Linked DNA regions of Caenorhabditis elegans. Each later gene encodes a partner of the first gene's protein in a complex. Each region holds a gene or a part of one and is shown in the gene's direction. Other genes may lie near its edges.

Evidence for each region. The genes of interacting proteins can lie anywhere in the genome.
Region 2: arx-1 (region 1) and C46H11.3 share a complex: the UniProt entries of both Caenorhabditis elegans proteins name them as parts of the arp2/3 complex.

What each region holds. Positions count from the first base shown.
Region 1 is NC_003279.8:2,889,971-2,895,834, reverse strand, and holds the start of arx-1 (Actin-related protein 3), read left to right. Parts: upstream 1-2,116; 5' UTR 2,117-2,121; coding exon 2,122-2,224; intron 2,225-2,278; coding exon 2,279-2,421; intron 2,422-3,091; coding exon 3,092-3,202; intron 3,203-4,367; coding exon 4,368-4,529; intron 4,530-4,573; coding exon of another isoform or gene 4,574-5,389; intron 5,390-5,864. Other genes in the region: copa-1 (Coatomer subunit alpha), read left to right, coding at 1-273; Y71F9AL.6 (Protein PBN1), read right to left, coding at 4,574-5,389. UniProt on the Caenorhabditis elegans protein: Functions as ATP-binding component of the Arp2/3 complex which is involved in regulation of actin polymerization and together with an activating nucleation-promoting factor (NPF) mediates the formation of branched actin networks.
Region 2 is NC_003279.8:5,038,901-5,043,056, forward strand, and holds C46H11.3 (putative actin-related protein 2/3 complex subunit 5), read left to right. Parts: upstream 1-2,469; 5' UTR 2,470-2,591; coding exon 2,592-2,664; intron 2,665-2,743; coding exon 2,744-2,859; intron 2,860-2,903; coding exon 2,904-3,155; 3' UTR 3,156-3,192; downstream 3,193-4,156. Other genes in the region: lfe-2 (Inositol-trisphosphate 3-kinase homolog), read left to right, coding at 29-303, 689-1,039, 1,770-1,865; C46H11.7 (ShKT domain-containing protein), read right to left, coding at 3,295-3,434, 3,481-3,909, 3,953-4,027, 4,077-4,152. UniProt on the Caenorhabditis elegans protein: Functions as a component of the Arp2/3 complex which is involved in regulation of actin polymerization and together with an activating nucleation-promoting factor (NPF) mediates the formation of branched actin networks.

The sequences.
Region 1 (5,864 bases):
AAACCAGAAGTTGCTGCTCAAATCCGAAAAGTGCTGACTGCCGCCGAGAAGGATAACACTGACGCGCATCAGTTGACCTATGATGAGCATAATCCATTCGTCGTGTGCTCTCGTCAATTTGTGCCTCTTTACCGTGGACGTCCACTCTGTAAATGCCCGTATTGTGGAGCATCGTACTCTGAAGGGCTCGAGGGAGAAGTGTGCAACGTGTGCCAGGTTGCAGAAGTTGGAAAGAATGTTCTTGGGCTCCGAATCTCAACTCTGAAGAGCTAAAAGTTGTGAAATATGATAATTTTTTCGTTTTTTGTGTGATATTAATTATTGTAATTTATTTGCCTTGTTCTTCCACAATTCCCATTGCTTTTGGTCCCTTCATATTATTTTCCCGTTGGGCGGCGGTTCATGTTTTCTATTTAAATTATGTGTTTTTAAAAATTATTTAAACCCCACAGAAAGATTATGATTGCATGCTGGTCTATTTTATTTGAATAAATCATGATTTTTTTACTTTTTTTCATTTATCTTTGGGGTAAGAAAATGTTCTCTAAATCAGTAATTTACATGGAGAAATTTGCTCGAAAAAATTCAAAAAAAATACAGTAAGAAAATTGTCGTAAAGTCTAGGGTTTTGGTATTGCGGACTACGACAAAATGCACACAAACCATTTTGGCACCGGAAAAAGGCAAAAGCCAGGATTTTATCGCGTTTTGGCTCATTTTTCTTGCAAATTTCCATGGAATTCAGTTAACATATACCTAATTATTCAGTTATTTCGAATTAATCAATAATTTTCAGTGAATTTCGCAATTTCTAAGTGGTCCAATGATGTCTGTCCACATATTTCCTTGAAAACTGATTGTTTTATCGGAATTTATTGATTTAAAATAATATATATAATAAAATCTGAATTTTAGAATCATTTTTGACGTGGAAAAGACCCGAAAAATCCAAAAATCACGAATAAACTGAACAATTAAGGTATTAATTTTTGATCCCCCACCCCCAGTTTCTCAGTTTCTCAGCAAAGGATTAAAACAATTGTTCTTCTTCTTTTCCCCCTACAAGAATTTCCTGTGAATTTCAATCGTAAAAATATCGATTTTCTGTTTATTCTTTGGATGAGTCACCGCACTCGCCGATTGTTTAACTAGTGCAGTTCGGCAGTTTTACGTTATTTTTTCACGATTTTTTGGATTCTGATCCTCTAGGTGACTTGAAAATACCGAATTTCATATCGTAATATGACAGAAAAATTTATGGCGGTAAAAAAATGCGGAAAAATTTTCTAATTTTAACGGAAAACTCCAAAAAGCCGTTGGAAAATGATTTTTATTTGATATTGGCATATTTAAATAATTTTTATCCTGTTTTTTAGTGGATTTGGATATTTTAACCCGATAGTTATGTATAACGGCTTAAAAATTGCCAAAATCAGCGAAAAAACGCGAGAAAAATCACTTAAATATGGAAAATAGAACAATAATCAAATAAACCCGATTATCCAAGCCAAAACTGAGTTTTTTTTTTCGCATTTTTGAACTTCAAAATTTCGAAAAAATGGGCTATTTTTAACGAAAATCCCCAATTTTGCAATTTTTTCGTGTCACAGCCGTCGGAAATTGATTTTTATTTGATTTTTGACACATTTGAGTGATTTTATCCTTTTTTTTTCGTGGATTTAGGTACTTTTAGCCGATAGTTACGTATTGCTAAAATACTGGCTTAATAAGTAGCTAAATCGACGAAAAAATATGTTTTAAAAAACCAAAAATGGCAAAATTTTACGATTTTTGCTAAATCTTTTTTTTTTTTGAAATTTTAAATCGTCATAAAATTATTTAGCTAAATTTTTGTTAAACATTTCAGCGAAAAACTCCATTTTTGCCAATTTTTTGTGTCACAGCGGTTGAAAATTGCGTTAATTTAGGTATATTTGAAGCCAAAAAAGGAACAAAATTAATTTATTTGCAAAATTATCAATTTCCGGCTTAAAAACGCTCCAAGATTGGAGATTTCAGCGGAAATTAGCCCATTTTTTCGAATTTCTAAACCGCTAGACTGAAATTCCGTCTTTTTCTCCCATTTAAAACAAAAAAAATCCCAAATTTTTTGCAGCAAGCATGTCGGCCCATCAACTACCGGCATGTGTGATCGACAATGGAACGGGTTATACGAAGCTCGGATATGCTGGGAACACGGAACCTCAGTTTATTATTCCATCTGGTTAGATTTATTGATTTTCAGCCTATTTTTCATAAAATCCAGTGAATTTTCCAGCAATTGCCGTGAAGGACAAGGTGGCGAGCTCGAATTCGCAGGCGATGCGCTGGAATAACCGAGTCGGAGCCGGGATAGACGATCTTGATTTCTTTATTGGAGATGAAGCTTTGTCGCCGGCCGCTACGAATTATACTGTCAAAGTTCGTAGTTAATAGACCATATTTATGCTCCTGATGTCAAATATCAATGTGAAATTTTTTTTTTTAATTCCCAGATTTTATATAATTTTTTAAAATCCAAAAATCCTAATTTTAAATTTAAACGACAAAATTTTGCATGATAACCGTGCCGCAGGTGTGGATTTACGAGATTAATATTTTTAATTCATTTTTATTTAATTTTCACACCGATTTTCCCGTTTTTTCGTTGTTATACATTGAAATTCTTGGGATTTTCATAAATTTATTCATAAATTTACTTTTTATTAATGAAAACAAATTAAATTACAAGAAATATCGAACTTTTGCTGAAAAAATCGAATATTTCACGTATTTTTGTTGTTTTCATTAATAAAAAGTCATAAATTAATGGAAATCATGATAATTTTAATGTAAAACAAGGAAAAATCGGGAAAATCGGTGTGAAAATTAAATAAAAATGAATGAAAAATATTAGTCTCGTAAATCCACACATGCGGCACGGTTATCATGCAAAATTTGTCGTTTCTGAATTTAACATTTTGGACTTTTGGATTAAAAAAAATATAATTTTTTATAAAATCGGGAATTTTATTTTTTGAATTTTTCACATTGATATTAGGTATCAGGAGCATATGGAAAAAATGTTTAAAATTAAAATTAAATTTTTTAGTATCCAATTCGGCATGGAATCGTCGAAGACTGGGATCTTATGGAACGATACTGGGAGCAGTGCATTTTCAAATACTTGAGAGCCGAGCCAGAGGATCATTTCTTCCTTTTGGTACGGGAGAGAAGCAGAAAATTCGGGAAAAAATGCTCTGGAACAATATTTTGGCCACTTTTAAAAGAAAAGGGGGTCGAAAATCCGTTTTTTTAATAGAAAATATCCTGTAAAATGGATGTAAATCGGTGAAAAGCTATATATTACAGAAAAAACACGTGAAAAGTGATAAATTTCGATGAAAAAAGCTTAAAAATCACGAAATTTTGCAATTTTTGACTCTAAAATTACGGTATCCGGTCTTGACAGGACAATTTTTTTGGAAATAAAGCATGTGATACCAATTTAAAAAATACGTAAAAATTTTGAAAAAAACGGGAGAAAAATCAAGGAATTTCCCCCGAAAACTCCGGTATTTTTAAGCTTTATTAATTAAAATTAATTAAATGAAAAATCTACATTTTTTCAAAAAAATAGCAAAAAAAATTTTTTTTCGTATTAAAATCCTAATTTTATAGGAAAAGCTGTTTTTTTGAAGATATGGCTTTAATTTTCTATTTAAAAAATCGTTTTTTTTTTCTGGAAATTTACAAAATTTTGTTTCTAATTTTTTTTAAAGTAAGGGTCCCGCCACGATCTACCTGAGCTTCAACTTTCAGGCTTAAAGTTGGTGTAGTCGAATTTTTTTTTTGCTTTATTAGAATCAAAATTGTCTAAAAACACCGAATTTCATAATGAAACTTCTTGAAAAAAAACAGTTATGACGGTTCAAAAAATCGGCTAAAATTAGTTAAAATTTGAAATTTGGCCTTTTGAAATTACCGTCAAATTTTAGATATATAAGTTTATTATCGTGCGTTTTCAACTCGATTTAGGTATTTTAAAGTCGGTGGACTTGGAGATTTGGTAATAAAAATTTAAAAATCTCCAAGTCCACCGGCTTTAAAATACCTAAATCGAGTTGAAAACGCACAATAATCAACTTATATATCTAAAATTTGACGGTAATTTCAAAAGGCCAAATTTCAAATTTTAACTGTTTTAGGCCATTTTTTTGGAGCCGCCATAACTTTTTTTTTGAGAAGTTTTCAATTCATTATGAAATTCGGTGTTTTCAGACAATTTTTGAGTCTAATAAAGCAATTTTTTTTTTAAAAATCGACTACACCACCTTTAAATAGCGAATATTAGGCAGTTTTCCACGAAAAAATTTGAAAATTTCCAGACGGAACCACCACTCAACACTCCGGAAAACCGAGAATATACTGCTGAAATTATGTTCGAGTCGTTCAACGTGCCAGGCTTGTACATAGCCGTTCAGGCCGTCCTAGCGTTGACTGCCAGCTGGAATTCCAGAGAAGCCAACGAGCGAAGCTTGACTGGATTGGTAGGAAATTTTTTCGCTTTTGAGAAAAAAAAATTTTTATTATTTTATTTGTCACTTATTAAATAGCCAAAAATGCAAATTAATACCAGCAAAAACATGAAAAATATAATGAAAAACGACAATTTACACATTCCCGACAATGATGGATACTTGTTCCCGTCTACTTCGGCTTCTCCTGCAACTGCAAAAAAATCGAATTGCTCCTCACCATCAAGCGCTCCGAATCCCAAAATATCCTCATCGAAACTCGAAACCTCGCGGAGCAACACAGGCAGCTCTTGCAGCCAGAAACTTCCAGTTTTCCGTGGATCTTGCTCCAAATGCGTCAGAAATAGATGCCAAATTTGGCGGAATCTCTCCTTTTCGGCTTGTCGGCGGTTCGCATTTTCTAGCTGCTCATGATCTTCGGCTTCAGCGTGGAAAGCGGTTCTGAGTGCTTCTTCGTCGATTTTCGGGATGTACGCAGAAATTGCCATGTCGAGTAGAGAGTGTGGGAGACTGAGAGGGACAGGGAGAGATGACGTGGATTCTGGTGTACCGACGACGATCGATAATGTTTTCGAGGTACCTGTGTACCATCTGCCGTCTCTGCTAGCAATTGCATAACACGCAAGAAAAACGCCAAAAATAATGTATAACGTATTTATTATATGAATATGGTAGATTTGGTATATATGATGTATATGATATATGGGAGATTTGGTATATGTGTATATATGGTATATATAATATATATGATATATCTGGTGTATGGTATAAATGGTATATGGTATATATATATGATATATATAATATATGGTAGATTTGATATATATGATATCTACGGTCGATAATGATCGATAATGTTGCCTGTGTGCCATCTGTCGTCTCTGCTAGCAATTGCGTAACCCGCAAGAAAAACGCCAAAAATAATGTATAACGTATTTATAATAGGAATATTTGCTATATGGTATATATGATGTATATGATATATATGGTATAAATGGTATATGGTATATATGATATATGGTATACATGGTCTATGGTAGATACGGTATATATGATATAAATTGTATATATGATATATATATGGGATATGGTATACATGTTATATACAGTGCATTTTTTTCCACTTCTACGACTTCAAAGGGAAGCGCTTTCATGCGGTATGGTCTTGACGCGTCTTTAGTCATCATTTTTAGCAGTTTCTGTGTAAATTTCGTATAGATCACAAAATATTTATATCTTATTTTGTATTTCTGTAGCTTTTTTACTCTGATCTACAAATTAATTTTGATCTACGTGTGATCTATACGAATTTTACACAGAATCTGCTAAAAATGATGACTAAAACCG
Region 2 (4,156 bases), 2.1 Mb from region 1:
TATAATTTAAATATTTTTATTTATTCAGATTTTATCGAAATCGAAGATCTCCTGCAACAGTTCCATGACCCCACAAAAACCGCAATTATGGACATCAAAATCGGAACAAGGACATTTTTGGAATCAGAAGTATCAAACACCAAAAAACGGGCTGATCTTTACGAAAAAATGGTTGCGATTGATAATGACGAGCCGACAGAAGAGGAGAGAAAGTGTGGAGCAATCACAAAATTACGATACATGCAGTTTAGGGAACGAGAGAGCAGCACTGCACAGCTCGGATTTCGAATTGAGGCAGCCAAGGTATGTGAATGGGTCTCGAACCGGCCGTATATATAAAAATTAAAATGTATGCGCCTTTAAAAAGTACAGCAGTTTCCACGGTTCACTTTAAAAAATTGCAAAATAGAGAGGTTTGAAGACTACAGTTTTTTTAAAGGCGCACACTCGTTCATATTTAAATATGTGATCGTGTCGAGACCGGCTACTCTATTGTTGAAGTTTTTGGTCCTTACTTGGCTCAAATTAGAGCTCCAGCTGTGTACCTGACTTCCGCAGTGCTCAAAGCTTTAATCTTTATAAAACATATGTTTTTCCATCCAATTCATGGGTATATTTAGAATTCTAAATGTTAACATAACAAGTTTTCTTCAAACCCTAAACTCTTCAACATCGCATTTATTTCCAGAGGCTCGAAGGCGCATTGGAGAAAAACTTCAAAAAAGTACGAACAGTTGAAGATGTCACAACTACATTTATGGACTTCTTTGGAACTCAAAGAAGCCGTGTAAGACAACAATTAATTGAACGACTGAAATCAATGCGAAAAGCCATCGAACATTCATCATTCTTCAATTCACATGAAGTCGTCGGAAGCAGTATTCTGATTGTTTTTGATACGGAAAAAGTGGGATGCTGGATGATTGACTTTGCAAAGAGTTCACCGGTTCCTAATGGACGAACACTAAACCATCGGACGACGTGGATACCTGGGAATAATGAAGATGGGTATTTGATAGGAATCGATAATTTAGTCAAGGTAAGCTTGGTTTTCTTAGAATTTTTTATTTAAATATTATTAATGTAGCACCTTACTATTAAACTCAGTTGCCTTTTGTCCTATACAAAAATTGTTAACGGAAAAATATTGGAAAGTGTTTCATATTGTTTTAAAATTTTTTAAAGCAAAAATAAAGTAGTGGGATTTAATACTATTAGAGAATATTCGGTAACTAATATAGATAAGAGGTGCGGAAAATCAATTTATATATTTTCAAATTCTTGACACTATATTTATTTTTCTTTTGAATTTGAGTTTATTTAACTAAAAGAAGAGAAATAAACAAATAAAACGAGACGAACCCTAAAAGAGTTCAACTCGAGTAAAAGTTACATAAAAAAAGAAAGAAAAGATAATAGGGAACAGGTGAAACGGGGAGAAAAACGAGAATGGAGGTAAAAGTGTAGTTATAACCGGGGGATGTTGAGATCAATAAATTCACAGAACTGATATGGGGACATAAAAACCGTAACATTTTTGAATAAATTGGAAAAAATATTGGAAAGTGTTTCATATTGTTTTAAAATTTTTTAAAGCAAAAATAAAGTAGTGGGATTTAATACTATTAGAGAATATTCGGTAACTAATATAGATAAGAGGTGCGGAAAATCAATTTATATATTTTCAAATTCTTGACACTATATTTATTTTTCTTCTCATAAATTTTAAATGTTACCAAGTAGTTGAATTATAATTCAAATATTTTCAGATTCTCGAAGAACTCCCCGAGTACGGAGAACATCCTGATGACCAGTTAATGGTCACAGAGGAAGTGATTGCCAGAATGAAAAATACGAAATCGTAGAAGCTTCTACCTCCTTGGATTACTGTAGATAGATGAAAGTGTGTGTCTCTTCATATTCCGCCATAATAATTTCTGTGATTCCCCACCGCTCCTCCACAAAATCCTCATCCGTGTACAATTTGCTATTATTCAATTTTACACCCCCTCCAGCCAGTCCTTGTTTTTGTTGGTTTTTTGAAAAAGAAAATAGATTTTTTGAAAAAGAAAATAGATTTTCACTTTTTAATCTATCGCTTTCCCCTTCTCTTTTCCTTTACCATGGCATAATCCCTAGACTTTCTTCTTACTTTCAGTTGTTTTTTTTGTTCCATTGTGTACGATCCGAGTAATGGATTAATTGATTGGGTACAATTTGTATATTTTTATTCTCAAATGAAGAGAAATTTTTGAAATGTCCAGTTGCAATTTAGATCCAAACAACAATCTATTGAAGTCTTTGCTTTAAAAGCTAGAGCAGGTGCAATTGTTCCCAGTGCATATCGGCCGATTGCCTAGTGAAAAGTACTAGGCAAAACAAAAAACTTATGGCAATTATTTGGGGATTAAAAGAAAATTGTTCAGAAACAAGAATCTATGAAATTTGGTATGCAGCAGAACAAACGTTTTCGAATTTCACAAAAGAGTGGACAATTGGTGCTCTTATTCAAAATTTCAAAGAGACTTCAAAAAAGCTTTCTTATATCATTTTTTAGGTTTTCATTCAGAAATGTTTTTCTATTGTAGATAATGTACAACACTGACTATAAAAAGTACAATGTTGATATTTTTCATCCAGCTCATTTTGAAGATATTCAGGAAGGTTAGTCAATCTGAATTCAATAATTAATTTTTGAATAAATAATAATATTTCAATAAATAATTTTTGAAAATTTTTTCAGAATCTGCAGATTGTGGGCCAAATGTGCAAGAGGTTCGGCAATTTCTGGAGTCAAATCGACTTGAATATGCTCTTCAATCCGTTCTCTTAAACCCACCATTTGGTCATTCTGAACAGGTTTTATTTTTTAATGTCATTTTGCAAACCTCTTTCCCTTTTAGGAACTCAAGAACCGTGCTGTTCTCCTTGTGGCCGAGGTTATTCATGCATTTCGACAGACCGATATTGAAGAATCAGTTCACAAGCTGTCAAATGAAAATGGAGACATTCTGATGAAGTATATTTACAAAGCAATGCAACTATGCTCTGATTCTGCCACGTGTCTTTCTCTACTATTGTGGCATTCTCAATTGGTATCAAAATTTGGGCAGGGATCCATTGTTCGAGTGTTGTCCAATCGACAACGTCTCTAATTTTTTAATGAAGGTACATGTATCTGTTAATTTCTGCAATAAAACTCCAAGATCCAAAGTTTTTTATATGAAGAAGTTCAAATTTACAACAACCAAATATATTAGGAAATAAATAAAATGATTCAAGAAAAAATGAAGATTATCCAGAAGTGCAGAATCCGCAAGTGAGTGGGCATTGAGCTCTCATAAGGGTTGCGTAGGCAGAATTGGTACAGAATGCACGACGGTTTGGACAATCGGAGACTCCTGTAGCTGCGTTGACTTGGTCAACACAGGTGGCTGAAAAGTTCAGACATGGAACGTTATGAACAATTATTAATCTTACTTGAAGCTGTTGTGGAGGAAGATGAAGTTACGGTAGAGCTTGAGTTACATCTTCCACAAGTTCTTGGGCATTGTTGAGTCATGACGGCATAGTAGACTGAATCATTGCACAAAGAAGCTCGTGCAGTACAATCAGAAACTCCGGTGGATGGGTTTACAAGATCGGCACAGCTAGTGGAGCTTGTGGTAGTTGAGTTACAACGACCGCATGTTCTTGGACATTGTTGAGTCATGACTGTGTAGTAGGTGGTGTCGTTGCAAAGATAGGCAAGTGCTGGACAATCAGAGACCCCGGTAGATGGATTGAGGCGATCAGCACACGAAGTTGTAGAGGTTGAGGTTACTGTAACTGCTGAAGCAGTTGTGGTTACTGTAGATCCATCAGAATCTGTTACCACAGCAGCAGTGGTTGAAGTCACAAGGGGAACGGCTAAAAATCATAGGTCACGGTTGAAAGAACCTTGTTGACTTACTGGTTACAGGACAACATTGACCAGCTGCCACATCACAGACCTGTGTCTGGCACACAAGAATGCCACCGTCACATGCTGAAATGAAACAACTCAAACTCTAAAAGTAATGGCAGTCTTTACTTACGTCCTTCAGATTCAGAAGCTTCGCAAGCAAATGCAACCGAGAAAATGGCAAATGAAATAATGAATTGACGGAACATGATA